Canis lupus familiaris: one gene and its partners. The protein of the gene in region 1 interacts with the protein of each later gene in a biochemical or structural test. Links are inferred from orthologs where the notes say so. Each region holds a gene or a part of one and is shown in the gene's direction. Other genes may lie near its edges. The genes, in order: SNTA1, FRMPD4, MAPK12, KCNJ4, SLC6A3, SCN4A and KCNA4.

Region 1 (4,280 bases):
TCAGTGCTTAGGCACTGACGTCAAACAAGCCTAGGTTTAAGTCCTTTCCCTGTCCTCCTCACGAATGTGTGATAGAGGCCATTTAGGCCTTCTATATCTAAGTTTTCCCTACTGTATAATGGGAGTGTTGCTAACTACAGTTACTCCTGCAGGCTACTGTAAAGTTGAGATAACACAGGAATATGCTCAGATCTAGGCCTGGCCAATGGTAAGCACTCAATAAATAAAAGCGACTAGGGTGCCTGGGTGGCTCAGTCGGTTGGTTAGGGCTCTGCCTTCCTCTGGGCTCACGATCCTGGGGCTGTGGGATCCAGGCCTTTTGTTGGACTTCTGCTCACGGGGGAGCCTGCTTCTATTTCTCCCTCTGCTGTTTCCGCTGCTTGTGCTCTTTCTGTCAAATAAATACAATCTTAAAAAAATAAAAGCGACTGTATTGATTGCACAGGAGTCGCAGTCTACAATGCATTTTCAAATCAATTTGATTCTGACACAAACACTGTCAGGTAGCGATTCTTGTGATCCCCATTTCATAGATAAGGAAATTGAAGCCTGGAGAAGTGAAGTGATGAGATCAAGGTCGACAAGGAGCTAACAGAGTGAGGCCCCAGACCCAAAGCCCCACCTTCCAGCCCTCTTTCCTCACACCAGGAGTCCTGGGTTCTTCTCCAGCCAGGTCTCGCAGAGGGTGTGGGACTTCAGGCTTTTTTTTTTTTTTTTTTTTTTCTGTTCGACTGCTAACAGAACAGGTGGTTAATCTCTCAAACTCCCTTCCATCGAGGTGGCGACCGCGTCCAACCCCTCGGTGGGCCCCGAACGGCCTGCAGCGTGCCCATCCCAGGGGGCGGGACCGTCCGCGAGAAGCCACGCCCACAGGCAGACCGAGGCCCGCGCCCGCGTCGGGAAATCAGCCGCTTCCCAAGCCTGCCTGCCGGCGCGGGGGGCTCCGTGTCCAGCTCGGCCGGCCCCTAAGAGCAGCTCTCCGCAGCACACGGCTCTGCGCCCACCCCCAAAGCCTCGCAACAGGATCCGCGGTCCTACCGCTTTCGCTCAGGCTCCTACGTCCGTGAGCTCCGGTCCCGGCCCTCGACGGCCTTGCGGAGCTCCGAGCCCCTCCGCGGGCTCCTGCCCGGACACGAGGCCCCGCCCCGGCGGCCCCGCCCCGCCCCGCCCCGCGCGTGGCCGCGGCGCCCCTCACCCTGGACCGCTCGCCCTACGCCCCAAGGCCGCAACCCCCCGGGCGCGCGCTGCCCCGCCGCATCCCTCGGGTCCCCGCGCCGCCGCGTGCCCCGGCTCGCCTGCGCCCCGCCCCGCCGCCGCCCCCCGCCGCCAGCCACACCCCGGCGGCCCCGCCCCAGGCTCCACCCCCAGCGGCCCGGGGTAGGGTGGCGGCTGGCCCAGGCGGGCCCCCGCTGCCCTCTGCCCCGGGCGCTCGGTCGGAGCGGGCCGGGCACTGCGGGGCAGGGGAACGCGGCGGCCCGGGGGCTCCGCGGCGAAGATGGCGTCCGGCCGGCGCTCCCCGCGCACCGGGCTGCTGGAGCTCCGCGCCGGGGCCGGTCCGGGGGCGGGCGGCGAGCGCTGGCGGCGGGTGCTGCTCAGCCTGGCGGAGGACGCCCTGACCGTGGGCCCCGCCGACGGCGAGCGCGGCCCGGAGCCCGGCGCCCCGCGGGAGCCGGAGCCCGCGCAGCTCAACGGCGCCGCCGAGCCCGGCGCGGCGCCCCCGCAGCTGCCCGAGGCGCTGCTGCTCCAGCGGCGCCGCGTGACGGTGCGCAAGGCCGACGCGGGCGGGCTGGGCATCAGCATCAAAGGTGGGCGCGGGGGCACCGGGGGCGCGGGGGCGCGGGGTCTGCGGGGTCTGCGGGGCCGCCGAGCGCGCCGGGGTCGCGGAGGCCGGCCGAGCGGCGCACGCGGGACGCGGAGTTGGAAGACTTCGGTCCGGGGACGAGGAGGGTGGCTGAGGGACAGAGGGACCGAGGAGGACACGGGGAGCAGCAAGGTCGGAGGCCTCAGTCAGAAGGCACAGGCGGAGGCAGTGGGGGCGCACCAAGGACAGGCGGGTGGCTTCTGTGTGGAAGCATAGAGACGTCAGGGGTTGCGTGGACATCAAGTAGGAGAGGAGCCCGGAGAGCGACGGATGGAGAGAGGGGATTGAGGCCTGGGAAGCTTCCCTGAGACGCCGCCAAGGTGGCGGGGAGGGGTAAGGCCTGGAGTTGGGAGCACAGGTTTGGAGACTTGGGGAGAGGCACAGGCTGGGCTCACAGACAGGGGTCCAGGAAGGACCCAGAAATCTGAGGACCCAGGACCCCATGTATCTAGGTGGAGAGTCCCGACAACTGGGTTTGAGTTTCCCTGCCTGGCCATCATCACCTTGCGCGGAACTGAGAGTGGGCATAGAGAAATCTCGGCCCCGATACTGAGAGCTTTCTTTAGGATGCAAGCAGGTAGTGTTTGAATCCTGGATCTGTGTGCACTTAGACAAGTCACTTCCCATTTCTGGATTTCAGTTTCTTTGCTATATAATGAGGCTAATGATAGAGTTGTAACAATTCCATGAGAACAGGAGTCTGAAATTTGTACTCTGCCAGCACGCAGTAGATGCCTAGTTAATTATTGCTGTTAGATGAGAGGAAAAATGGAGTCCAGGAGAGACTGCCAAGGCAACTAACCATAGTGCTTAAAATCCCTGTATACTCACAGCAGCTGGGTTCACCATTCCTACCCATCTGCTTCTCAGGGTGCTGTCTGCCTCGGGAAAGGGTGTTGGCTCTTGTATCACCTTGGATATGCACTGTTCTCTCCCTGCTGCTGGGTCCTTTCATTGGTGTCTCCAGACCCTTTGGCCTGGGTGAGGGGGTGGGGATGGTGGTGACTCAGCTACCACCGTGTGCTGGAATGCTGTGTTCCGTACTTAGGATCTATTTTATCCAGGCAACAAGTGGTAAAAAGTGAGGAGCATAATCTCCATTTAGCAGGGGAAGAAACTGAGACTCAGAAAAGGAAAACAGGGATCCCCGATGGCTCAGCGGTTTGGAGCCTGCCTTCGGCCCAGGGTGTGATCCTGGAGTCCCGGGATCAAATCCCACATCAGGCTCCCTGCATGGAGCCTGCTTCTCCCTCTGCCTGTGTCTCTGCGTCTCTTTCTGTGTCTCTCATGAATAAATAAATAAATAAAATCTTAAAAAAAAAAAAAAAGAAAAAGAAAAGGAAAACAGTCTTCCCAGGATCACACAGTGAATGATTTGAACCTCAATGATCAGGCCTTAAGAGAGTGCTCAGAGGATTTGGTTCTTCCCCATCAAAGGGCAGATTATCAGGCAGCTGACCAAAGGAATCTAAAAGGGAGAAATGGGGAATGCGGAGAGTGGACACCAGTCTTGCCCCTCAACTCCAGAGTGGAATAGGGCAACAGATCAATCCAGAAATTGGACACTCAATGTGTTAAAGCAGAAAGGAATTAATTTTTTTTTATTTTTTAAAGATTTTATTTATTTATTCATGAGAGACACAGAGAGAGACAGAGAGAGAGAGAGAGGCAGAGACAGGCAGAGGGAGAAGCAGGCTCCATGCAGGGAGCCCGACGTGGGACTCCATTCCGGGACTCCAGGATCACGCCCTGAGCCAAAGGCAGACACTCAACTGCCGAGCCAAACCCAGGCATCCCAAGCAGAAAGAGAGTTAATATAGAGTTCCATTTTACAGATGGACAAGCTGAGACTTGGAGAGGAGCACAGACTTTCCAAGGTCACATGAAGTTACTCCTTAGCTTCATACTGCCCAGTGGGAGTGAAGGTACTTTTAGGAGAGGTCAGGGGAAGTACTAGCTCCATTCAGTTCTTCATGAATAGAGACTGGGCTCTTGTTGCCATGGTGACCTCCCTTCGAGGGTCCAGCCTGGCTTGAGGTGGCTTGGGATGATCATAGCTTCAAATTGAACTGAATTTCCTAGTTTCATGTGGAGGAGAGCAGATATAAATAGAAACCCACTCCTTTCTAGGCTTTAAGTCCTGTGCCATGCAGTGAGCATACTATTGGGCCTGTATGGGGGCCAGGAGAGGCATTCTAGTCCTACCTTTGCCACCAACTTATTGTGTGACCTTGAAATAATGACCTCCTCTCTATGGGCCACTAGATCCTCATCTTCAGCATTCTGGGATGGACCAGTAATATGATATCTGAGGGCCTAATTTACAGTCAACCATAGGGTTAAGAGCCTGGTTCTGGAGCCAGGAGACCTAGGTTAAAATACTACTTTGCTGCCACCAACTAGCTGGATGACCTTGGGC
Region 2 (3,500 bases), on another chromosome or scaffold:
CCCTACTCCGTAAGACTCTCATAGAGACATGTCCTGAAGTATCCGGTACACCTCAGTGTCAGGAAGGCTTTGGGGGTACGCGTGATGAGCTGCTTTATTTTCCCCCAAATAATAAAACGTAGGCATAGGTAGAAACAAGAACACAACCACCTCTGTGCCCATCTTCACCATCCTACCACCCAGTGGGCACATATTCCTCTCACCAATCCACTCGGCCAGCCATCACGTGGCCAAAACAGATGTTCTTTCCTACTCTCAGATATCAAAGTATATCCATAACATCTCTTCCAGACTAGGTCAGTAGATGTTAGTGAGATCTTGCATAGGTTCATTTCCATTCCTGCCCTTTTAAGATGATCTACTTTCACAAAACCCACCACTGACATCACCAGCCTCGGGAAACCTGCCTATGAATGTTCCCTAACTCATCACTCAGCTAGTGTCTTGACCTCTAACTGAAGCACGCTGTTTAATCTTTCGTGGCTCATGAAGAGCTTTCACCTAATTTCCCTCTTCCCACAAAAATTCCGTGAGATGGAAATATTTTCTTCACATGACAACTTTTTTGCAAAAAGTTGAGCAACTCGCCCAGGGTCTCCTCTTCAAACCCCATACCAGGCAGTCCTCGTGGGGTCCTCTTGAAAAACTGACCTTATTTACTTTGCCTTAATTAGACCACTTAAGAAAAAAAAGGTAACTAAGTAACTGATGCCAGGACTAACCTAACGCCCTTGAAATGAAACTCAAATGTCATAAATATTTTGAATAGCCGAGATCTAGGATGTGTGTTTTCTAATTACATGTCTAAACACTGATAGATAAATACTGGGGGTCAGACAAGTTGTGAAGCGCCACAGTCTCTGCAAATAATTGTGATTTCTAGCCAATTCAAAATAAATCCATAGTTTCAAAACAAATAAATCCATAGTTTCAGAAATAACAGCTACCCAATATATCTTGAAATGGAAATCTTATGAGATCTCAGGAGGCAGTCTTTGAAAAGGAGGGTGACCCTGACAAATGGCAGCCCTTCTAGAGTACATCCTCGGGAAGTGACAGCCAGCACCTAGAGAGTCAGTGAAAATGACCACCCATGAGATGCTTAACGATTCTCTCTGTTTTTCTGCTACCCCTAGTGTAGCTTTGACAGAGCCTGGGAAGGAGAGACGAGGAGGCATGCCTTCAGCTTGGTCTCAACATCCTGAAGCTGATCCCATCCTGCTACCATCAAACATTCACTCGGAATCAAAGGTGCCAATTCCAAATCAAGACCCTAATGATTTCTCCCAAGCAAATCTGGCATACGGAGAGGCTGTGAACTGGCGGCCACTGGATCTGAGAGGGGGGAGCCTCGGGACACCCCCCAGCCAGAAGGCTCTGCGGCGTAGCAGCAGTATCCTCTCGGGATCTGTGGGTTTGGAGACCTTCCAAGAGAGAACCAAGGGTGCGGTCAGCTTAAAGTGTCCGGGAATCACAGAAGCACCGGAGGCCAGTTCGGAAAGGCGAGCAGAACTCCCCCTGGGGAAGAAGCTCACCAAAAGTTTTTCCCAAAGCTCGATGTTCTTTAGCTCCGAGGGAAAAGTTCACAAGAGGTCCCCGGTGGCTCACAAAGACTCCAAGCTGTACAGGACATTACCCTTGCGCAAGCTGGAAGGCAGCAACTGGAGATGCCGGGGACCTTTCAGCTACTGCTTCCTGAACCGAGGGCAGGATGAAGATGGAGATGAGGATGAAGAGGAGGGAGAGGCCACGCGCCAGGTCTCTTGCCTCTTTCGGCCACAGATGACTCAAGCCACGCCAGAACCAATCAGCCCACCTCCGGCTGTTGGGATTCAGAAGCAAGGAGGGGAGCTGTCCAGGGGGTCAGTGCTGAAGGTCTGGGCAGAAGACCTGAGTGGCCCAGATGACGCGGACTTTAGCAACCTGGCCTTCGATGCCCGGATTGCAAGAATAAATGCCCTAAAAGAGAGCACATACGCAATGCCCGATGGGTTCCTCGCAGCCCAAAATGATGCCAATGAGCTGCTCTGCCTCGTAAGGGCGACAAAGGGGAAGAGGGAGGAGTCACGCCCTGAAGCATATGACCTTACGCTTTCTCAGTACAAGCAACTGTTGTCCATTGAGTCCAGACAGTTGGGAAGTGCCTGTAGGAAGCTGGCGATGGCCGAGAAAAGCCCAGAGGAGATGCTCCTAGCTATGACTTCCAGCTTTCAAGTGCTCTGTTGCCTAACGGAAGCTTGCATGCGATTAGTTAAAGTCGTGAACTCAGAAACACAGCGGCAGGAAATTGTAGCGAAGATCAATGAAGTGGTCATAAACTACATTTGTCTCCTGAAAGCTGCAGAGGCAGCCACTGGAAAGACCACTGGGGATCCTAATGTTGGACTCTCGGCGCGACATTCAACCACCATGGCCGCCCTCGTAAGCACACTAACACGTTCTCTCAAGATGCTTTTAAATAAATAAAGTATGAAAGTCACATCATAATCTACCTTTGCAAAGCCATACATGAACTTTTATTTACTTTATGTGTACGATGAACAGATGTCTCCTTTCTTCTCTCTGTATATTTTGTTATTTTATATAAAATAGGAGATAAAAGTCACATTGATGAAATGTTGAAATGTACTAATCAGAAGTATTCTGTTTATATTATACATATATATACATGTAAAAGAAATATACAAGAAAGTGATGACATTTGGCTATTTTTCATATAGTTGAAACTCCAGGTATATGATGTGAAGTTTTAAATTCTCCCGTGTTAGAGCAAAACAATGAATCCCATCCCCTTTCCCTCCAAGCGGATACTTGGAGACCATATCATTCATACTTAGAAGTTAAAAAAGAGGGAGAGAGAGAGAGAGAGAGAGAGAGAGAGCGAGGGGGAGAGAGAGAGAGAGAGAAAGAAATCATAGTGTATATAAAACAGTACTTATGTTTTAAAATTATGATTTTTAAGCATTGGAAATAGCAAAAGAGACATTTAAAATCCAAGAAGCTATTATGAATTATTAGAGAATATATATAATAAATTAATTTTTTGCTCATAGTGTTTGGTTATCTGATGCTTTCTTCCAAGAATCCTACATAAAATTTAATTTTGGCTTCTGCCATTTGGGCTAGAAATGGGGTGGGGGTGGATTCGATTGTGTCAGTACGAATGCTCTTCATGATGTTTCTGTAGTTCAAATACTTCCCAAATAGAAGAAGAGAGGTAATGATGCGCAGGTTCCTAGGTAATACCTAGAGTTAGAGATGATCTAACGACGTAAAATGAAAGGAATGAATAATATCAAAATTAAATTGTTTGATGAAAGAGAGATCTCTTTTGATTAAATGTCAAAATATATAAACCAAAGACATCATCTTCCTCCCCACCCCGACTCAACCGTGAAACTTAGAATTCCATTAAGAGTGACAGAACATTTAGTGAAGTATTTGCGAAATTACAAAAAGCAACATTCAATGATCATCAAATAAGTGCAGATCCAGTCATG
Region 3 (3,993 bases), on another chromosome or scaffold:
CCCTTGGAGACCAGGTTGGACCAAGTCCCGTGGTGAGGGGCAGCGGACGGGAGCAGAACTGGGATGCACCACCTGGGGACACCTGCCATACCCCGGGCCCCCCACGGGGAGGAAGCAGCCAGCGAGGGGCTCCTGGGAGAGGCAGGGGGATTGCCTGGTCGGCCCCAGGCGTGAAGGGCACAGGTGATTGTGGCTGTAGTGGCCCAGGCCGCTCTCTCTGGCTGGTCTCCAAGTCCTGTGGAAGCCCAGGTGGAAAGCTGCTCTGGCCGCTCTGAGCTGCTGATTCATGGTGGCCGGCAGGGCAGAGGGAGGGGAGGGCCCCTGGGGATCCTGTTACCTTGGACCTGGGTCCCTGGGCTGAGCAGGTCGTGGAGGGGGCTCTGTCCCCCAGGAGCATCCGGTCCGGGATATGGCCAGACCCGTGGAAGGATGATGCCCCACCTAGGGGTCAGGGGGGCCCTGAGAGCCCAAGTAGGGCCCTCCTTCACCCTTGGGAGTCAAGTCTGGAGAGAGAGGGGAGGCTCAGGCCAGGCTCAGGATGGTCAGGAGGGAGTAAGCTGGGTGGAAGGTGGCCGGCAGGGAGCTGGGTGTGCCTGGGGGCCCAAGGGAGACCTACACCACCACCCTCTCTGGCGCCGGGGCCCGGTGGTCACACCGAGGGGTGTTGGGGATGCAGCCTAAGTTTGGGAGACAGAACCAGCTCCTCCCCAAGGAGAGGGGGATGCAGGCAGTAGGTGCTGGGGAGGTGGGGGTGGGGGCCCACCCTGGGACCTGGATGGATCAGCCCCAGGGGAAGGGGCTGTCCCGCAAGGTGGGCAGGTGACAAGGGGGACACAGGAATGGGGCCCGGGTTACACGGTGGAGGTGGCCAGGCCGGCCGTGGCCAGGGACTTGCAGCCGGGACTGGGGGAGCTCGGGCTGTGCAGCAGGGGGGCCCAGCTCCGCGAGGGGCAGCGCGGTGACCCAGGGGCATCTGCTCAGACACCGCGCTGGGCTCGGGCTCTGGGGGCGCGCCCTGCCCTCCACACACCCCCCCCCCCCCGCCCCCCCGCCCCCGCGCCTCCTCGGGTTTCCGCGGGACGGGCGGGGGCGTCACGTGCGCGCGGCCCGGGGGCCGGTTGGTCCGCGGCGGGGGCGGGACTGCGGGCCAGGCCGGGCCAGGGGGCAGGCGGGGGTCGCGGCGCGGGACAGCCGCGCCAGGAGGGAGGGGAGACCCGCGGTGCCAGGCGCGCGAGCAGGTGCGGCGACCCGGTCCCGGGCTCGGGGCGCGGTGGGGGGGTGCCCTGGGCACCATGAGCTCCCCGCCGCCCGCCCGCAGGGGCTTCTACCGCCAAGAGGTGACCAAGACGGCGTGGGAGGTGCGCGCAGTGTACCAGGACCTGCAGCCCGTGGGCTCGGGCGCCTACGGGGCCGTGTGGTGAGCGCGGGCGGCCGGGTGGCTGGGGGGGGGGGGGGGGCGCGGCGGGCGGCTGCTGAGCAGGGCGTCCTGCAGCTCGGCGGTGGACAGCCGCAGCGGCGCCCGGGTGGCCATCAAGAAGCTGTACCGGCCCTTCCAGTCCGAGCTGTTTGCCAAGCGCGCCTACCGCGAGCTGCGCCTCCTCAAGCACATGCGCCACGAGAACGTGAGTGGGCGCCCCCGGGTGCGGCTGGGCCGGGCTCACCCCCGAGGTGGGGGGGACACTCGCCGGGCTGGCACCCTCACTCGGCCCAGCCCTGCCTCCCCAGGCCGCGGTGGTCCCGGAAGGGGCGCCATCGCCCGGCTGGGCATCCCCCGCAGCTGCACCCAGGGCGCCCCTGCACCCAGGCCATGGGCCACAGTCTGCCCAGCGGGCGCCGAGCGGGGAGTGCCCCGTGGTCAGGGGCTACGGGCGGCCGTGGAGAGCCGAGGCCGGGTGGCCGGCCCAGGGTCGCCTCGCTCCAGGGTGGCAGATGTGCGGCCCCACCCGCAAGGGCCTCCCTTGATGCCCGACCTGCCCTTGGGGCACCGTGTGCTGCCGCGGCCTGTGTGCCCATTGCTGGCTGCTGAGCCCCGGTCTGTGTCCTGGGGGGCCTCCCCGACCGAGCTCTGCCCTCTGCACAGCCCACCCCGCGTCACCCCCGGATCGGGCTGTCTCAGGGCTGCTGGGTGGGGGGGGGGGCGGGGTACCCTTACGGATGGTCCGGCTCTAGGTCATCAGCCTCCGTTCCCCGGGGGAAAACGAGCCCCGGGTCTCCTGGGCTCCTGGCCGATGGCGCTGCAGCGGGTGCTTCACTCACGCAGACTTCTGCCTCTGCCCCTGGGCCTCCCTGGGGACATCCCTTCGTGCGGGACGCCAGCCCAGCCCCGACCTCACCAATTCCTGGTTCCCCTAGTGAGGCCCAGCTGGCTCCCTGTGGTGGCAGCCTCCTCCCCAGCTGCCCCCCCGGCTCCTGCCCCCAAGATCTCAGGGCGGCCTGCTCGGTCGCCTCCCACCCTTGCCGCATCTCCTCCTCTGCACCATCCCAGTTGAGCTCCTGACCTTCTGGCAGCCGGTGCCACCGCCTCGGGGTGCCCTGCACATGGCTGACTGTGACCCCGCTGCCCTGGGAGGACACTGAGGCCGTGAGAGGCAGAGTGCCGGCCGGGTCCTGCCCTTCCGCCCACACCTGGCACCTTCTCCCTTCCCTCCCTCTACTTGAGGCCAGAATCCACAGGGGCACAGATCCCTCTCCACGTGACAGACCCCCCCTGACCCTCAGGGACCCTGCCCTCCATCCCCTTCTTGCCAAGACACTCTCCCGGTGGCCCAGGCCCCTCACCGGACATCCCTCTATGTTCTGTCCACCCCTGTGCCCGTGACTCTGGCCCTGGTGGCGCAGTCACCTAGTTGTCCCTGCCTCACTCCCATCTGTCCCCACACAGCAGGCATCGCACCTGTTTAAACCCCTTCTTGGCAGCTCTTAGGATCAAGGCCAAACCTTCACCTGGCAGGCGAGGGCCCGCCCGGCTCCCTCCGGCCTCTCCTTGGCTACTCCCTGGCCTGGGCCTCAGCCACCTGGCCTTTCTCCCCGTGTTCCTCAAACGCTTCAAGTGTCCTCCCTTCTGCCTCGGCCCTCGTTTGCCTGGCCTCTGCCAGGTGTCCCCCCGCTGGCACATCCACCTGCCCCTCTGGCCACTCAGCTGTACAGGCCTCCTGGGGCTCCGCGGGGCCGGGTCTAGCCGTTGCCTTGGTTGTCGTGCTGCCTGCCTGGGCCTCACTGGCAGAGCTAGGGCTCCCTGATGGGCCTGCTGGGTGCTGGCTCTCCCCTGGGAGGCTGTCCCACCCTGCCGTCAGGTTTTCAGTGGGCATGAGAAGAGGCGGGGGAAGGGCCAGGGGGCTGGAGTGCCTTGGATGGCTGGGAGCCGACCCAGACTTGGGACCGCCCCTCCCCCAGAGGATCCCTGCAGTCACCATTCAAAAATAGCCTGTGTCTATGGGCATGTGTGCCAGGGCTAGGCTGTCCTGCCAGTAGGACAGTGGGGGGACACGGGGACAGCTGTAGGGGGCTTTCCCACCTGGGGCACCGTGCCGCCTCGGGGTGTACCTGACCCCGTGCCCTCCGCCAGGCCCCCACTCCACCAGGTACTCCGGCCTCCCCCCAGGTCATTGGGTTGCTGGACGTGTTCACTCCTGATGAAACCCTGGATGATTTCACAGACTTGTGAGTGCGGCCCCAGGGCAGTCTGCTCAGGGCAAGGGAGTGTTGGGTTGCTCCTGGGTGCTGACTCGGGTTCCGCATTGGTCTGTGGGTGTCCCTGCAGCCCGAGTGGGGGTCCCTTCCCTGCACCACAGTCTGCCCCCTGCCACATGCCCCCCGGGACCCATGGCCCTGGCACAGTGGGTGGGCCCTGGGCCTCCTGCCCCCACGCCTGGCGCGGGGCCCTCTCCAGTGCTGGGCATGCAAGCGTGGGGCCTGCATCTGTCATTGGCAGGTCCCGTGCTCTGGGACCCTGGCATCGGACATGGCCTGTAACTAGAGCCGCTGACCTTTGCT
Region 4 (4,279 bases), on another chromosome or scaffold:
AAAAATAAGAGGCCAATAAGCAGGAAAAGGGGAGGAAGAATGAATGCCAAGGCTAGACAGATGTTTGTTCAAGTCTCAAGTGTCACCACTTACTGATGGGCTGTAGGAATTTGGGCAAACTTTCATCTTTCCCATGGGTAACCTGGGTATAAACCAAATACTGACTTGATAGGAGTCAAAGTTAGCTAGGTACCTAAAGCGCTTTGCAAGGAGTAAACCACTCAACAAATGCCAGTCCCCTGCTCCCCTTTATGGGACACCCAGGCCCAAAGAGGATCCGCAAAGCAGAGCCAGGAGAAAACACATTCTGTGTTCTCAGAAGCCGATCACTCCCTCGCCGGTTTATTCCAGAAGTGCAAAAAAGACAATTAAAAATAACCTCGGGGCCCGAGGAAGCCTTCTGGGGCGTTAGAAGTGTTCTGTATCTTGATCCCAGTGGTGATTACACGGGTTTTTTGCATATGTAAAAATCCATCGAGCTGTGCTCTTAAGATGTATTACAGTTTGTAAGTCACACCTCAATTAAAAGAAAAAGAAAAGCATAACAAACCTTGCGACGCCGCCTCCCTTCGCCGCTGGCGACAGGTGTCTGTCTGAGACGCCAAAGACCCCTCGGCGCTCGCGGGGCAGGCCCGGCCCCCGGGCTCCGAGTCGTGCGCCGCTCCGGGGCCGCCGCGGGGTTCCCACGGCAACCGCAAGCCGCTCTCCGCGTCTCCCGAGTGACGAGGCGTCAGCGAAGACCCGGAGCCCGGATCGCCGAACCGGAGCCACGGAACCAACGGTGCGCGGGAGGTGGGGGGGGCGGTTGGGGAGAGGTGGCTGGAGAGAGACGGTGGCTGGCCGAGGGCAGAGGGGAGCGACGGGTGCCCTTCGTCCTTGCGCTGGCATTCTCGGGGGGGGGGGGGGCATCTGGCACCACCCCCTAGCCCGGTGCCCGCCAACTGCAGGATGAATACACCCCTGGGGTTCACTCTCGGTTTTCCAGGTGGGGAGGTGGACCGCTTGGCTGCTCCCCAATATCACAGAGCGAGCGAATCAGGGGCAAAGGCAAGCCCTGCACCCTGGTGGCCTGCTTTCTAGCTTGTGCGGTCCAGCCGAGTGAAGGGTGCATAGAGCTGGGTGCTGGCACCTCCTTGGGCTCTGGTACCAGCTCTGCCAGTAAGCCGCTGTGCGGTCTTCAAGTCCGTTCTCCTGCCTTTGCCGCAGAGATGGGACAGCACCACCGATATCTCAGGGCAGCTGTTACCAAGTGTGTGAAATAACGGGTGTAAAAGTGGCTTATAAACTGTAAAGTGTTGTGCACCTGTTAAGGACCATCACTGCTGCCACTCTATTGTCTTCTTGTCCTCATCATCATTCTGGCCTCAGCTGCAGGCTTGGTGACAACCAGGTGCCCAGTGAACATGGGGCTCCCAACTCCCCCCATGCCCATGGGTTTGCAGTCTCTAGGGTGAGATTTCCTTCCCGGAACATCCCCTTTCCCAAGCAATGGACCCAGCGTAGCTCTCCCAGGCACCAGGGATCCTTTGGTCCCCAGACCACCTACCGGAGGGATTCACAGAGACGGCAGCCTCCACCACCCTCCTGGACACCGCCTCCTAGTCTGCTACCCTGTAGCTGGATCGCAGAAGTGCCCCCACTAAGTGAGGATGTCTGGAGAGCCCAGGACGTGGCTCCTGCACAGAACCCGATGGTAACACCACTTAATGCTCTTTGAATGCCACATGCTGGGCATGTGTTGTTACAGTTGTGTGTTCGTGTGCTGTGAGACCGTATTTACATTGCGGTGCGTGTGTGGGGGTACATGTGCCAGGCGTGCATGCATACATTGGTATTTGTGTGTGCTTGCGATTCATATTTGAGTATGTGTGTGTAAATGTGTGTATTTATGGCTGCGTGGTATGTGCTTGCAGGTGTGTGTTGTGTATTTGAGGCATATGTATTTACCCGTGCATCTATTTGTGTCTGTGGTGGTGAATATGCATATCAAGGAGGGCATTTGTGGGTCTGTACTTGTGGTGTGCACAAGTGGATGTGTAAAACTGTGAGGTCTGTAATCGTGCATGTGTAGGAGTGTGCTGAGGGTTTCGGGTGGGGGGGGCTCTCTTCCCCCCCATCTCCCCTCATCTGGGTGACCTTCCTCCAGCTGAGGACTGTGCCCAGGCTAGCTCTTGCCCCCTCTGCAGACCTGTGGCTGCTCTGGTCATTGGCTTGCCCCATCTTGGGGCATGTGGGCAGCAGGAGCAAGGGCGGATGGGTGAACCTGGGTCCAGGGCTCACATGCCACCCCCTCCCCTTCTGGCCTCCTCCCCTCCCCACAGCAGGAGCAGCAGCGGGAAAGGTTGGCGGAGGGGGGCTATTTTGGGAGCGTCTCCTTAGCAACAGCTGCCACGGCCGTCTGTGGCGGTTTTTCTATAGGTGCTAAAATATTCCACCCTGGTGACTACTGAGTGCTGGGGGGTGGGCGAGGGGGGGAGTGGAGGGCGGGAGAGACCCCTGCAATCCTCCATTCCCAGGGCATAGCCGCTGGGATGGGTCTTGGCCCTGTGGGCTCCCATTACCCCTTTCCCCACCATCCATCCTCACCCCTCAGGGCTGCTGGGACTTCAGAGTTCTGAGGCTGGCCAGCTGTGTCCTGGTCTGATTCCTAATCTAAGCAGCTGGGCTCCCTCTGTTTGCCCCATCTGTAGAATGGGCTGGCCAGACTTTCAGGAACTCTCTAAGTCCCAAACCCCTGGACTCTGTGACTCTGGCATCTGGAAGTGGCCCCTGGTGGCCCACCTCCCCCACTCCTCTCCCAGCTTGGCTCAGGCCCTCCCACCTGCAGTCCTCCAGGCCTTCTGTGCCTGCTCTCAAGGCCTCTATGGGACCAGGGAGGCCTGACTGGTCTCCTAGAGTGAGCCAGTTCACGAGTGCTCTGCTGGCCTCAAACGACCTCTCCCCAGAAACTAGGAATGGATTCCAAATGTGGCTGAGACATTTGCTTACTCCCTGAGTGACCATGGGCAAGGCACTTCCTCTCTCTGTGTCTCAGGTCGGTTTCCTCACCTGTGAATGAGGGATAGTCCTAGAGGCTCCCTCATGAAGACACTGGGAGGATCATCTCTGAAAATGGAAAATGGGCCAAGAAGCTTTGGCAAAATGTTCAGTTGGATGAACGTTTTACCATCACTACCTATCAAACTTCAGAGCAAGTCTTGCCCTTCCACAGAGTTGTCCCTGGCCATGTACCAACATGGCCCATGCCTCAGTTTCCCCATGGGTAACAAGCGCCTGCATCATAGAGTTCTGGTAAGGATTAAATGAGACAATGCCTGTGCAAGCCTAGAATAGTGCTGGGCTAATGGTATCACCCCCAGGGGCGTCTGCTCCCTTCACTCTTCCCAGGGGGCGCTTTGGTGTTGGATGACCACAAAGCCTACTTGCCTTTTGGGGACCCAGTCCAGACTGTCCCATTACAGATGAGGCTCCTGAGGTCCAGAGAGGATAAGCAACTTGCCCAGGGTCGCCCAGGTTCTGACAGCCAAGCCTCTACCCGCTGCCCCTGTGAGCCCCTGCACACCTGTCTCACATCCCTCCTTGCCTCCACCTCCCCACCCCTGCCCTTCTCAAATATGGGCTGGACAATAGGGAATTCCGCCCCTAAGCTCCCATCATCTCAACTGTGGGGCTATTATCCTATGACACAATAGGCTGTCATACAGATGAGGACACTGAGGCACGGAGACAAGTGAGCTGTCCAGAGTCACATCAGGCTTGGGGCAGAGCGGGGTGGGGGGGGAGGTGAAGGGACTCTTTTTCCTGGGGTCCCTGAACCTCTCTCTGGCTGGAGCTGCCTTTTCTGCCTCTTCCCACCTCCTCCCAGTCACTCCCAGCCTCCACCAGACCCTCCTTGCAGGAGGATCCCAGGCTACAGCCCCAGGAGGAGGGGACCATTACCAAATGTTTCCTCTCAGGCTTATGATGTCACAGCCACCAGGCTTCCCCCTTCCATCTTCCAGAAGTCTCTGTCCCTGAGCTCCTACCTTTCCCTTGAACTTGTGCCCAGTGACCCAGCATCAGGACTGACCCCACAGGAGCAGAGGCTCTAGGTCTACAGACCCCTCAGTCTCCATTCCCCGCCCCCTTTGCCCCTCCCTCCTTGCCCTGCACCCCACATTTCCAGGGCAGCCAGCAGGCAGACCTCTGGCTAGGTGAAGAGACCACGGGTCATTTGCTTCTCCTGCACCCTCCCAATTTCCACGGAAAGTTGTGACAGTGACCAGGCACTTACCTGCCA
Region 5 (3,500 bases), on another chromosome or scaffold:
CGTGGGGCTGGCTGGAGCTGGCACGTGGCTGCGGGCTTCCCGGAGTCCGACAGGAGTGTGCCGAGTTCCCCGTGTTTTTTTGGGGGGCGGGGTGCAGGACAGGGCTAAGCCTGCAGCCCGCCACCCAGGGATCCACAGTCAGCCCACTGCTGGAGACAGCCTTCCACAATGCTCTCCCAGTCACACAGCTCCCCGGCCACACAGCTTCCCAGGCCAGGTCACTGCGAATCACAACCCAGCCCCCGTCCTGAGGAGCTCAGCGAGCAGAATTGCAGTATAACATTATTTCACGTTGACCAAGTCCACCCCGGGAAGGCCTTCCGAAGAAAACCGTCACGTTTTTGTCATCGTAGACCCTGCCACGTTTTCCAAGACGGTTTGCACGCCAGGGCCTATTTTATTTTCAGGGCCCTCCTGCTACTGGTCTGTTCAGTAGACTTGCACAAATAAATTCTGGTGCCTCTCTGTGCTGTCAGGGCAGGAAGAGAGTTTTAGTGAGGTGCCCTGAGCATGAAAATTGCTTCTCCTCAGGGTTACGTCCATAAAGGACACCACAAGCCACTTCCTGGAAACATCACCTGAAGGCCTGCTCCACCTGCAGCCAGGCCCAGCTGCGAGCGGGCACACGAGATGCAGCACCAACCAGGTTTAACTGAGAGAATCAAAGCTTGAGTCCAAACAAATCCCATTTGCAAAGCTCAGAAGGAAAGTTGAAGTGAAGAGTTCTGTGTGGAGCCTGATGGAGGAGCCATGTGGCAGGAACGGGACACTTACCTGAAGGCCCCTTGGCCAACGGGAGGAGGCCGGATGCACCTGCCACCATCAGGATGGCACAGCTCCAAAGACTGCTCGCCACTCTGTCCTAGTTTGCTGAGAGCCCCTCAGTGACTGATCCCACATTTTGTGACCCTGGAAAGGTCACCACAAAAGGCCTTGGTTTGCTTTAGGAGACCCTGGACGGTCAGGGATGGCCCTGGCTGACCGTGGATGGTCAGGGATGGTCCCGGGTAACTCTGGACTGTCATGTGTGGCCCCAGGTGACCCTGGACAGTCAGAGATGGCCCCAGATGGCCCTGGACGGTCATGCATGGTTCTAGCTGACCTTGAATGCTCAGGGATGGTGGGGGACCCTGAACAGTCATGCACAGCCTTGACTGATGCTGAATGGTCCTACGTGGCCCTGTGTGACTTCAAAGTGGCTCTAGGAAGCTGTGAATGACCCAGACGACTCTGTTTACCCTGGGTAGTCTTGAGGGGTACGAGCAGCGCTGAGTGGCCATAAATGGCTCTGAACGGCTCTGGGTAGCTGTGGGTGGCCATGGAGGACCCTAGCTTCTAAGCACCATTGGTGTCTCTGGATGTCCCTGAGTGACCCTAGATGACTGAGGGTGATGCTGCGTATCTCTGGGTATCCCTAGATGGCCCTGAGCTGTGACGGGTGCTAGTAGATGATTCTGATAGTTATGCCTAGTGGCACAATGACCTGGTGGCCCTTGAGGTTGATGCTGAGTGGCCACAAGTGGTAGTGGATAGCCACAGATAGGCCTCGGTCACCCCGTATGTATGTGGGTGACCTGGTTCTACCAGGGTGGCCCTAGGTGACCATGCATGTCTCTGAGGGCACACGGCCCTGGATGCTTGGGGGGTTGGGTGCAGCCGCCAGTGATCATGGCATGAATTTTGCCACCTGAGCCTTCACTAGTTGGCTCTGGGTGTGCAGCATCGTGGCCAGGTGTCCATGTCAGTGGTCAGCCAGTCGACGTAAGGGAAGGAGGGTGGGTGCCTTGCAGACGGCGCTCTGTGCTCTCCCGCCCTAGGCGTGGGCTTCACGGTCATCCTCATCTCGCTGTACGTCGGCTTCTTCTACAACGTCATCATCGCCTGGGCGCTGCACTACTTCTTCTCCTCCTTCACCGTGGAGCTGCCGTGGGTCCACTGCAACAACACGTGGAACAGCCCCAACTGCTCAGACGCCCACTCCAGCAACTCCAGCTCCAGTCCCAACGACACCTTCAGGACCACACCCGCCACCGAGTACTTTGAGTAAGTGGGGGTGTGGTGGCACGTCACGGGCCGTGTCGGCCTCGGGGCGGGAAGGACACAGTGTCCAGTGCCCTGCGGCAGCCCCGGGGGTCGGCTACCCTGCCCATGCTACCCTGCGAGGGTGGGGTGAGGTCCCTTGTCTGGTGCCTGCATGCCATTCCTCTGGGTTCCCCATAGGGTGCGTCTCCAAATCCCACGTCTAGTGGCTCAGCGACGCTCCTGTGGAGTGAGTCCTGGGTGGGAGGCAGAGCAGGCCCACGGCCGCGCTGTCCCACAGCGAGCACGACATGGCCAAGGGCAACCTGCAGAAGGACGTGTGGGCCCTGGGCGGGGGCTGCAGGGCCACCCCCAGAGCGGACCTGGCTCTGCCTTCTCCGTAACCCCCCCCCCCCCGCCCTTCCCTGCATGCAGAATCGACGCCCCTCCGGCCTCCTAAGCAGGCCAGGCGTGCCAGGTGCAGCCACTGTTGCTTCTCCTGAGATGTTCTCTTCCTCCTACAAACACAACGTTAGTTCTTGCCCAAGTCACTCCTGGGTCCCCACATCTAGGGGGCTGCCCAGTACCCTCCCCTCCCCTGCACCTGCACCACCTGGCATCCACCACATCCCCGAATCAATTCTTCTCTGGGTCTTCTGGGCCCAGCTCCTGCCCCCTTTGCCCTCGTCTACATGGCCTGACTCCACCTAGAAGAGCCACCCATTGAGTCATCAGACCTGTCCTCCTGGGAAGAGCCAGGACTCGGGCAGGTGGACAGAGATGCCCACTGCCTCCCCTAGGATTCCCCAAGAACTCAGGAAAGGAGGGATTTCCTGGGAGGAGGGGACTGTCCAAGTCCTGGGGCCCCAGAGACCCGTCCTGTGGCCGCGAGCTAGGTGCTGCTAGCAGGGTGGTAGGTGTGGGGCAGGTGTTCCTAGGGGCTGAGACCCATAGTCACACCATGTCTCAGACACCAAGAACCTGAAATGCTTTGGTCTGGGGTTCTGTGCCCCATGTGGGCACCATATCTCCATGGGGGGAAGCGGCATTGAGGGGCAGGTTTGGAATGTCTGGGGGCACAGCCAGGATGATGCGTGGTTTTCTTGAGTCATGGTCAGGAGGAGTGTGGCTGGGGCGCGAAACAGTCGTACACCATGGGACGTGCTTGTCTTTAGGAGGATGCTGTTGGTGTGGGACTAGAAGAGAGTAGCATGGTGAGGAGGACGGGGAAGGAAGGACAGGGCTCATGGTCCGCAGCTGGACACATGGGTGGGAGATGGAGATGCGGGGGGTGGGGGTCCAAGCATGTGGATGCAAATCCTAACGTGATGAGAGCAAGTGAGAATCGTCTAGATAAAGAGAAGTTGAGCTTGCTGTTCTCAGGGGTGATAATCACCCACACCACTTGCTGCTGAGCTGTTCCCCCACTGCATTTCCTGAATTTAAGTGTCGCAGTGACAGGTCGTGCCCAGGCTGCATGG
Region 6 (3,482 bases), on another chromosome or scaffold:
TGCTTCCAGTGCTGTGGGACACGAGAGGTAGTATCTAGACCTCCGTGGTCTCTATGTCGTGCTCTGGGGAGGATCAGGCTGGGGTGAGGAGGGAGACTCAAGGATGGTGGAAATGAGAAGCAGCCCCTCTCCTCACACCCAACCACACTCCCCAGGCCACCTTCAAGGGCTGGATGGACATCATGTATGCAGCCGTGGACTCCCGGGAGGTGAGTGGGGCTCACTGAGATGTGGCTGGCAAGTGAGCCAGGGGAGAGGACGCAGATCAGAGGCACAATGACAGTTCTGCCCAACCCCACCCCCATTCCACCTCCTCAGGAGCCCCCAAAATCAGCAACCTGGGGGTGGAAGGATCCACCTCTGGGTCCCAGACTCCTCCTGCCCACAGTGAGATGGGGAGCCGGGAGCAGCCAACATACTCCCCCCAACCTCCCTATCCTGTCCCATCCCATCCTGTTCCATCCCCATCCTATCCCATCCCATCCTCTCCCATCCCATCCCATCCTGTCCCATCCCTTCCCCTCCTATCTCATCCCATCCCAGCCCCATCCCATCCCATCCTCATTCTATCTTGTTCCATCCTGTCCCATCCCCATCCCCATCCCCATCCCATCCCATCCCATCGCATCCCATCACATCCCATCCCCATCCCATCTTGGAGCCCCATCCCATCCTGCCCTGTGTCCTCTGCAGAAGGAAGAACAGCCACAGTATGAGGTGAACATCTACATGTACCTCTATTTTGTCATCTTCATCATCTTCGGGTCCTTCTTCACCCTCAACCTCTTTATCGGCGTCATCATCGACAACTTCAACCAGCAGAAGAAGAAGATGAGTATCCACCCACCCTCCCTGCACTCACTGGTCCCTTCATATATTCCCACCTGCCACCTCAGCACCCACTGTGCTGCCACTGGCAGCGGGACTGGGGCAGCCGGCCTGGGTTCAGGTTCTCCCTGGTGACTTTGAACAGTCACTTGGCCTCTGTGAACTCTGGTTACCTTATTAAGAAATGAGGTTGGTGCTACCTACCTGGCTGGGTCATCATTCAGAGGAGGCAGCAAGATATTGCTGAAAAGCATCCGGCCCCAAACAGGCTACGAGCCAGTGCTTGTCCCCTTCCCTCCACCTCCCCTCTGTTCCTTGTCTGGACAGAGTCCCCCTTCCCCTCCCTCCCTCCCTCAGCCCCTATCTCTGGGCCCTCCAGGTCCCCCTGCTGGTAGGGGGGCTGCCTTAAGGGTGGTGCCTGAGGTAGGGGGTCCCAGAGGCAGAGAAGAGAGGCCTCCAAACTTATAGGCACCATCCCACTATACTTTGGAGGGAAAGACATCTTCATGACGGAGGAACAGAAGAAATACTATAATGCCATGAAGAAGCTTGGCTCCAAGAAGCCTCAGAAGCCAATTCCCCGGCCCCAGGTACCAGCCCTCTGAGCCCCTCCTCCTCCAACCTGTATGAACCTCCTGCCCAAGGGGGCCCATGGGGGTAAAATGCAAGCTAAGTTCTGCCCACCAGCCCATATCCCTGGCGTGAGGCTGAGTCCACCTGCAAGGAAGCTGGGTTCCCTGCCAGGGGAATGTGCCTCTTTATAACTGCTCAGAGGCACCATGTGTGGGAGCAGCAGCTGCCTGATCGACCCCAGTCACTGGTTTGCCCCTCACCCGGCCCTGCACAGCCTCCCAGTGTCTACCCACTCCTTCAACTGATGACCTCTGGGGCAAGGGCCCCTAGAAGTAGGAGGAAGAGGATGTCCAGACACCTTCCCCAGTGAGTGATGACTGTGGAAGAAGAATGAGAGGTTGCTGGGGGCCTTGATGAGAGGAAGGGTCCTAGAGTAAGGAAGATACCCATGGACCCCAAAGAATGGCCTGTTCTGATGGGTATCCCCTCCTTGCCATGGCCAACTCTACCCCCTCTATCCCCTCCTCTCTCATGGCCACAAGCCCTGACACACACACCCCACTCTCTCTTTCTCTGTCTCTGTCTCTGTCTCTGTCTGTCTGTCTCTCTCTCTCTCTCTCTCTCTGTATCATGCTGTTGTGTCATCTTGTGTCTCCTGCCTGTCCACATCCTGTGTGGGTCCTGACCACTGCCCCCCACATCTACCCACCTGCACCCCTGCACTCCTAACCATGCTGCAGAACAAGATCCAGGGCATGGTGTACGACTGCGTGACTAAGCAGGTGTTTGACATCACGATCATGATCCTTATCTGCCTCAACATGGTCACCATGATGGTGGAAACAGACGACCAGAGCCAACTCAAAGTGGACATCCTGTACAATATCAACATGATCTTCATCATCATCTTCACTGGGGAGTGTGTGCTCAAGATGCTTGCCCTGCGCCAGTACTACTTCACCGTCGGCTGGAACATCTTCGACTTTGTGGTTGTCATCCTGTCCATTGTGGGTGAGCAGGGCCAGGCTGGGCTGAGTCATTCTGGAAGGCCCGTTGCTCCCATCCTTATGTACACACACCTGCTCTCACACCTGGAAAGCTCACACATACATTTACACATACGCATGTGCAATATGCACCTGGCATTCACACTTAAGACACAAAGATACATAGGATGGGCTCATAGGCAATCTGTCACCTGCATACACGTGAATATGCTTCTAGAAACATTTACCTACCAGTAGATGCACACTCAGGTCCATGTGCCTAGTGGAAGACATAAGATGGTTCTAGTATCATCCATACACACAGAAGTGCATAGACACATGTGTAATTATGATAGCAACTAACTACCACTTATTGATCATTTACTATTTGCCTGACACTGTGCCATCCCAGGAGGCAGGGACTGTTACCACCTCTGCCTTACAGAGGAGGAAACTGAATTATAAACAAGTTAAATGTCATGCTCAGAGTCACACACAGAGCTGTCTTCCCTCTCTGTCTCATCTGTGGCATCTGCAAACAGCCTTAGGAGTCAGCCTTACCCTCTCTCTATCAACTTGGGTGTATCTCACCTCCTTCCAGCTACAGTGTAACCCTAGCCCCAGGACCCTAGGAGAGCCCAGCCTCACGGGCCAGGTCATTTAGACTGTGCTTCTGTTGCTTCCTTTCCAAGGAAGAGCACACCAAGCCAGGTCCCCTTGAGTCTCCCTTGCCCCCACTCCCTGATCTAACCTCCCACCCCAAGGACAGTGCTCCTCACCACTTGTTCCCTGCAGGCCTCGCGCTCTCCGATTTGATCCAGAAATACTTCGTGTCACCCACACTGTTCCGAGTGATCCGCCTGGCTCGGATCGGGCGTGTTCTGCGGCTGATCCGAGGGGCCAAGGGCATCCGGACTCTGCTCTTTGCCCTCATGATGTCCCTGCCTGCCCTCTTCAACATTGGCCTCCTGCTCTTCTTGGTCATGTTTATCTACTCCATCTTTGGCATGTCCAACTTTGCCTATGTCAAGAAAGAATCGGGCATCGATGACATGTTCAACTTTGAAACCTTTGGCAATAGCATCATCTGCCTCT
Region 7 (4,054 bases), on another chromosome or scaffold:
AAAACTCGGGTGGGTTTAGGCTCCGAGGCCGACAGGATTCAGCCTGGAGCAGCAGGTGGTCAAGCGCTGAATCCTGCTAATGGCTCCAGAAAGCCATTTCTCCTGTGCTCCCCAAGTGCTTCCAGTAATAGAAACTGGTGGATGCCCTGAATTCTGACTGTCGTGATCCTCCCCAGCTCTCGGGGCCACCCTGCGTTCTCGGGAGTCCTGTCGGACCCACTGAATGCAAAAGCATAGGAGACAGAAGACCAGGGCAGTCTTTCCAGGTCCTGCTGAGGACGTGAATTAGCTGGACCTGGAGGGAGCCGACCTAGAAGAGAGGCCAGGAATTCCAGGTGACAGAGGAGCCAGATCGGGGCTGCGAGGAAGATGCGATCAGCAAGTGGCAGATCGGAAACAGAAGTGGGCAGAGAGAGGCAAGGGAGCCGGCCGGGGTGGGTCCGGGAGACGGGAGATGATGGATGAAATTATGAGGGGAATGTCTGATGGGTGGAGGATAAAATCCGCACAAACTGGGATTTTAAACATAAGGAGATAGTCCCCTGAGAAGATGTAGGAGGAAGCATTGAGGTGAACATGGAGGAACCGCGAGGAGGAAAAAAAAAAAAAAAAAAAAAGATGATTATCAGAGAAGTAGAAACTGGGATTAGCTCCTAGGCTGTGGGTGGTAGGGAGTGTTCTGGAGTCTGGGGAACAGAAAAACAACAACAGGGACATGCTTCAGGGCGGCAGGAAGTGCCAACCTAAGACAGGCCGCTGGGGAGTCTCCGAAGGCCCCCGTGTCCTCACTTCTGTCCTCCCCCTAACTGAGACTGTGGTGCATGGACATAGGGGTTTGGGGTGAGTACCAGACAGCAGAGGCCGAGGTCACTGTCGCCCTGTTCAGAGCCGGCAGCATGATGGACGTGCATGATGTCTGTGCTCTGCTGGCAGCGTTCACCGTCTCCGTCGGTCCTCACCAAGAGACGGGGGAGGTTCCATGTGCCCTGCACTTCGTAGGTGAGGAGACTGAGGCTTGTGGAAGCCGTGGAGCCTGGGTGAAAGCAGGCCGGTTCCTCCAGCGGCCCTGATCCTGAATCAAGACAGAGAGGGGTGGAGAGGCACTAAATTCAGAAGTATTTGATGAGTGGAAATTCAGAAAAAAAAAAAAAAAAAAGAAAACCTATGCCTTGAGATCAATGAATGATGGAAGCAGTTGTAAGGTGACCGCGTCGTTGTCGTGGAAGGAAGAGAGTGACCGCGAGAGTTAAGACCTGGCATGAGCGAAAGGGACGGCCACGTGGGTGGAGTGGAGAGAGGAGAAATAATTGAGTTGCCATGAAAATAGCCCGAGCGGGAATCAGAACCAAAGAAGAGGGCAGGAGGGTGGTTGGGTGAGGAGGAGACGTAACCGGCTGCGGTGGTCCCTCGGGGCTTCGGGTGCCTTGCTTGCTTGAGGCCCAGAAGAGCGGGGTCTGGGAAGGAGGCGCCGTCGGCTCTTTACGCGTCGATGCTTTTTACTCTGCTCCCATGCTTGTTCCCTTCCTTTTTCAGGTGGAGTGCTGCTTCTGCGCCGCCGCAGCTGAAGGATGCTCTGCGCTCCCTGGCTTTCCATGGAGACCTCCGAGCCGGGTTGGCCCCCGCTGACACCTCGCCTCGTACCTTCTCTACCTCCCAAGCTGTTCGCCTGTGTCGCGAGCTCGGCCCGGGCCCCGCGCCCCGGAGGCCTGTGCTGAACCCAGGGAGCGGCCGCGGGCTCTGGGCGGCGATGGCCCGACGCGCTTCCAGCCGCTCGCCCGCTCGGGTCAAGCCGTCACGAGAAGGCAAGTGCTAAGACTAAAGGCTTATTTGCATTTTATTTAAATCTGATGGACCGAGCTTTGGACGATTTCCATGGCAGAAAAATCCATTCCGTTTTCCAGGCACAAGTGCTGGCCGTCAGATAGCCGCGGCCTTTGAATCCCGGGCGGCGGCGGTGGCCAGTTGGGGCCGCGCTTCCAGACTGCGCCTGGGCCCCGGGCGCTGGGGGCCCCGGCGGGGACTTGGGCCCGGCGCGCGCTACCCGGACGGGCCGGGCCTGGAGAGCAGCGCTCGTCCCTGGGAACCGAGAGCATGGGGCGTGCTGGTTTAAAAACGGAAAATGCAAAGTTGGACTGAAAATATCCTCAGTCTTCCGAGCAATCTGCTGAACGGTTCCAAACTTACCTTAGTGTGGTGAGGCGGGGAGCTGCCCCACTTTCCGTCGCCCGCCTCCCGCGGCCATGGAGGTCGCGATGGTGAGCGCCGAGAGCTCGGGCTGCAACAGCCACATGCCCTACGGCTACGCGGCGCAGGCCCGGGCCCGGGAGCGGGAGCGGCTGGCCCAGTCGAGGGCCGCGGCGGCCGCGGCGGTGGCGGCGGCCACGGCCGCGGCCGCGGAGGGCGTTGGGGGCCCCGGGGGCGGCGCGCACCAGCAGCACCAGCAGCATCAGCAGCACCAGCAGCAGCAGCTGCAGCAGCAGCAGCCCCGCGGCACCTGCCCCGCACTCGAGCCCCAGGGCGGCCGTGTGGCCCGGAGGCGCCGGCGCTCGCGGCCCAACCGGAGGAGGCCTCAGCCGCGGCCCGGCGGCTTCCCGCACGGCTCGGACCTGCTGCCCAGCGGCTCGGAGGAGAGGATCCTGAGGGAGCTGAGCGACGAGGACGAGGACGACGAGGACGACGAGGACGCCGAGGAGGAGGCCCGGTTGGGCCGCGGCCAGGACGACCGCGCGGCCCACGGCTCCTGCAGCGACCTGCTGCCCCGGGACGACGGCGCCTACGGCCCGGGCCGGCCCAGCGGCTGCTGCGAGCGGGTGGTCATCAACGTGTCGGGCCTGCGCTTCGAGACCCAGATGAAGACCCTGGCCCAGTTTCCCGACACCTTGCTGGGCGACCCCGAGAAGAGGACGCAGTACTTTGACCCGCTGCGAAACGAGTATTTCTTCGACAGGAACCGGCCGAGCTTCGACGCCATCCTGTACTACTACCAGTCGGGCGGCCGCCTCAAGAGGCCGGTCAACGTGCCCTTCGACATCTTCACGGAGGAGGTGAAGTTCTACCAGCTGGGAGAGGAGGCCCTGCTCAAGTTCCGGGAGGACGAGGGCTTTGTGCGGGAGGAGGAGGACCGGGCCCTGCCGGAGAACGAGTTTAAAAAGCAGATCTGGCTCCTCTTCGAGTACCCGGAGAGCTCCAGCCCGGCCAGGGGCATCGCCATCGTGTCCGTCCTGGTCATCTTGATCTCCATCGTCATCTTCTGCCTGGAAACCCTGCCCGAGTTCCGGGACGACAGGGACCTCATCATGGCACTGGGCGCGGGCGGACACGGCGGGTCGCTGAACGACTCCTCGGCGCCCCACCTAGAGAACTCAGGGCACACCATCTTCAACGACCCCTTCTTCATCGTGGAGACCGTCTGTATCGTCTGGTTCTCCTTCGAGTTCGTGGTTCGCTGCTTCGCTTGTCCCAGCCAAGCGCTCTTCTTCAAAAACATCATGAACATCATTGACATTGTCTCCATTTTGCCTTACTTCATCACGCTGGGCACCGATCTGGCCCAGCACCAGGGGGGCGGCAACGGGCAGCAGCAGCAGGCCATGTCCTTTGCCATCCTCAGGATCATCCGTCTGGTCCGCGTGTTCCGGATCTTCAAGCTGTCCAGGCACTCCAAGGGCCTGCAGATCCTGGGCCACACGCTCCGAGCCAGCATGCGGGAGCTGGGCCTTCTGATCTTCTTCCTCTTCATCGGGGTCATCCTCTTCTCCAGCGCCGTGTACTTCGCGGAGGCCGATGAGCCCACCACCCATTTCCAGAGCATCCCAGATGCGTTTTGGTGGGCCGTGGTGACCATGACGACTGTGGGCTACGGGGACATGAAGCCCATCACCGTGGGGGGCAAGATCGTGGGGTCCCTGTGTGCCATCGCAGGTGTCTTAACCATCGCTTTGCCAGTGCCAGTGATTGTCTCTAACTTTAACTATTTCTACCACAGAGAGACTGAGAATGAGGAGCAGACGCAGCTGACACAGAATGCGGTCAGTTGCCCGTACCTCCCCTCTAA

What was found.
Region 2: the proteins of SNTA1 (region 1) and FRMPD4 interact in a test that uses a peptide from one of them, tested with the Homo sapiens proteins (2 studies listed by IntAct, with this or other methods). The link is inferred for Canis lupus familiaris from reciprocal best matches to the Homo sapiens genes SNTA1 and FRMPD4.
Region 3: of the proteins of SNTA1 (region 1) and MAPK12, one has a biochemical effect on the other in vitro, tested with the Homo sapiens proteins (2 studies listed by BioGRID and IntAct, with this or other methods). The link is inferred for Canis lupus familiaris from reciprocal best matches to the Homo sapiens genes SNTA1 and MAPK12.
Region 4: the proteins of SNTA1 (region 1) and KCNJ4 interact in a test that uses a peptide from one of them, tested with the Homo sapiens proteins (2 studies listed by BioGRID and IntAct). The link is inferred for Canis lupus familiaris from reciprocal best matches to the Homo sapiens genes SNTA1 and KCNJ4.
Region 5: the proteins of SNTA1 (region 1) and SLC6A3 interact in a test that uses a peptide from one of them, tested with the Homo sapiens proteins (2 studies listed by BioGRID and IntAct). The link is inferred for Canis lupus familiaris from reciprocal best matches to the Homo sapiens genes SNTA1 and SLC6A3.
Region 6: the proteins of SNTA1 (region 1) and SCN4A interact in a test that uses a peptide from one of them, tested with the Homo sapiens proteins (2 studies listed by BioGRID and IntAct). The link is inferred for Canis lupus familiaris from reciprocal best matches to the Homo sapiens genes SNTA1 and SCN4A.
Region 7: the proteins of SNTA1 (region 1) and KCNA4 interact in a test that uses a peptide from one of them, tested with the Homo sapiens proteins (2 studies listed by BioGRID and IntAct). The link is inferred for Canis lupus familiaris from reciprocal best matches to the Homo sapiens genes SNTA1 and KCNA4.

What each region holds. Positions count from the first base shown.
Region 1 is NC_049245.1:23,168,104-23,172,383, reverse strand, and holds the start of SNTA1 (alpha-1-syntrophin), read left to right. Parts: upstream 1-1,480; 5' UTR 1,481-1,495; coding exon 1,496-1,805; intron 1,806-4,186; exon of another isoform or gene 4,187-4,280. UniProt on the Homo sapiens protein: Adapter protein that binds to and probably organizes the subcellular localization of a variety of membrane proteins. May link various receptors to the actin cytoskeleton and the extracellular matrix via the dystrophin glycoprotein complex.
Region 2 is NC_049260.1:9,192,596-9,196,095, forward strand, and holds part of FRMPD4 (FERM and PDZ domain-containing protein 4), read left to right. Parts: intron 1-1,136; coding exon of another isoform or gene 1,137-1,141; coding exon 1,142-2,466; 3' UTR 2,467-3,500. UniProt on the Homo sapiens protein: Positive regulator of dendritic spine morphogenesis and density. Required for the maintenance of excitatory synaptic transmission. Binds phosphatidylinositol 4,5-bisphosphate.
Region 3 is NC_049231.1:17,892,086-17,896,078, forward strand, and holds the start of MAPK12 (mitogen-activated protein kinase 12), read left to right. Parts: upstream 1-1,193; 5' UTR 1,194-1,292; coding exon 1,293-1,417; intron 1,418-1,492; coding exon 1,493-1,622; intron 1,623-3,565; coding exon 3,566-3,660; intron 3,661-3,993. UniProt on the Homo sapiens protein: Serine/threonine kinase which acts as an essential component of the MAP kinase signal transduction pathway.
Region 4 is NC_049231.1:27,320,468-27,324,746, forward strand, and holds the start of KCNJ4 (inward rectifier potassium channel 4), read left to right. Parts: upstream 1-1,479; 5' UTR 1,480-1,693; intron 1,694-3,048; exon of another isoform or gene 3,049-3,105; intron 3,106-4,273; exon of another isoform or gene 4,274-4,279. Other genes in the region: uncharacterized protein LOC119876745, read left to right, coding at 530-781. UniProt on the Homo sapiens protein: Inward rectifier potassium channels are characterized by a greater tendency to allow potassium to flow into the cell rather than out of it.
Region 5 is NC_049255.1:11,357,321-11,360,820, forward strand, and holds part of SLC6A3 (sodium-dependent dopamine transporter), read left to right. Parts: intron 1-1,817; coding exon 1,818-2,043; intron 2,044-3,500. UniProt on the Homo sapiens protein: Mediates sodium- and chloride-dependent transport of dopamine. Also mediates sodium- and chloride-dependent transport of norepinephrine (also known as noradrenaline). Regulator of light-dependent retinal hyaloid vessel regression, downstream of OPN5 signaling.
Region 6 is NC_049230.1:15,070,962-15,074,443, forward strand, and holds part of SCN4A (sodium channel protein type 4 subunit alpha), read left to right. Parts: intron 1-155; coding exon 156-209; intron 210-693; coding exon 694-831; intron 832-1,313; coding exon 1,314-1,418; intron 1,419-2,141; coding exon 2,142-2,412; intron 2,413-3,182; coding exon 3,183-3,482. UniProt on the Homo sapiens protein: Pore-forming subunit of Nav1.4, a voltage-gated sodium (Nav) channel that directly mediates the depolarizing phase of action potentials in excitable membranes.
Region 7 is NC_049242.1:51,057,489-51,061,542, reverse strand, and holds the start of KCNA4 (potassium voltage-gated channel subfamily A member 4), read left to right. Parts: upstream 1-1,254; 5' UTR 1,255-2,240; coding exon 2,241-4,054. UniProt on the Homo sapiens protein: Voltage-gated potassium channel that mediates transmembrane potassium transport in excitable membranes. Forms tetrameric potassium-selective channels through which potassium ions pass in accordance with their electrochemical gradient.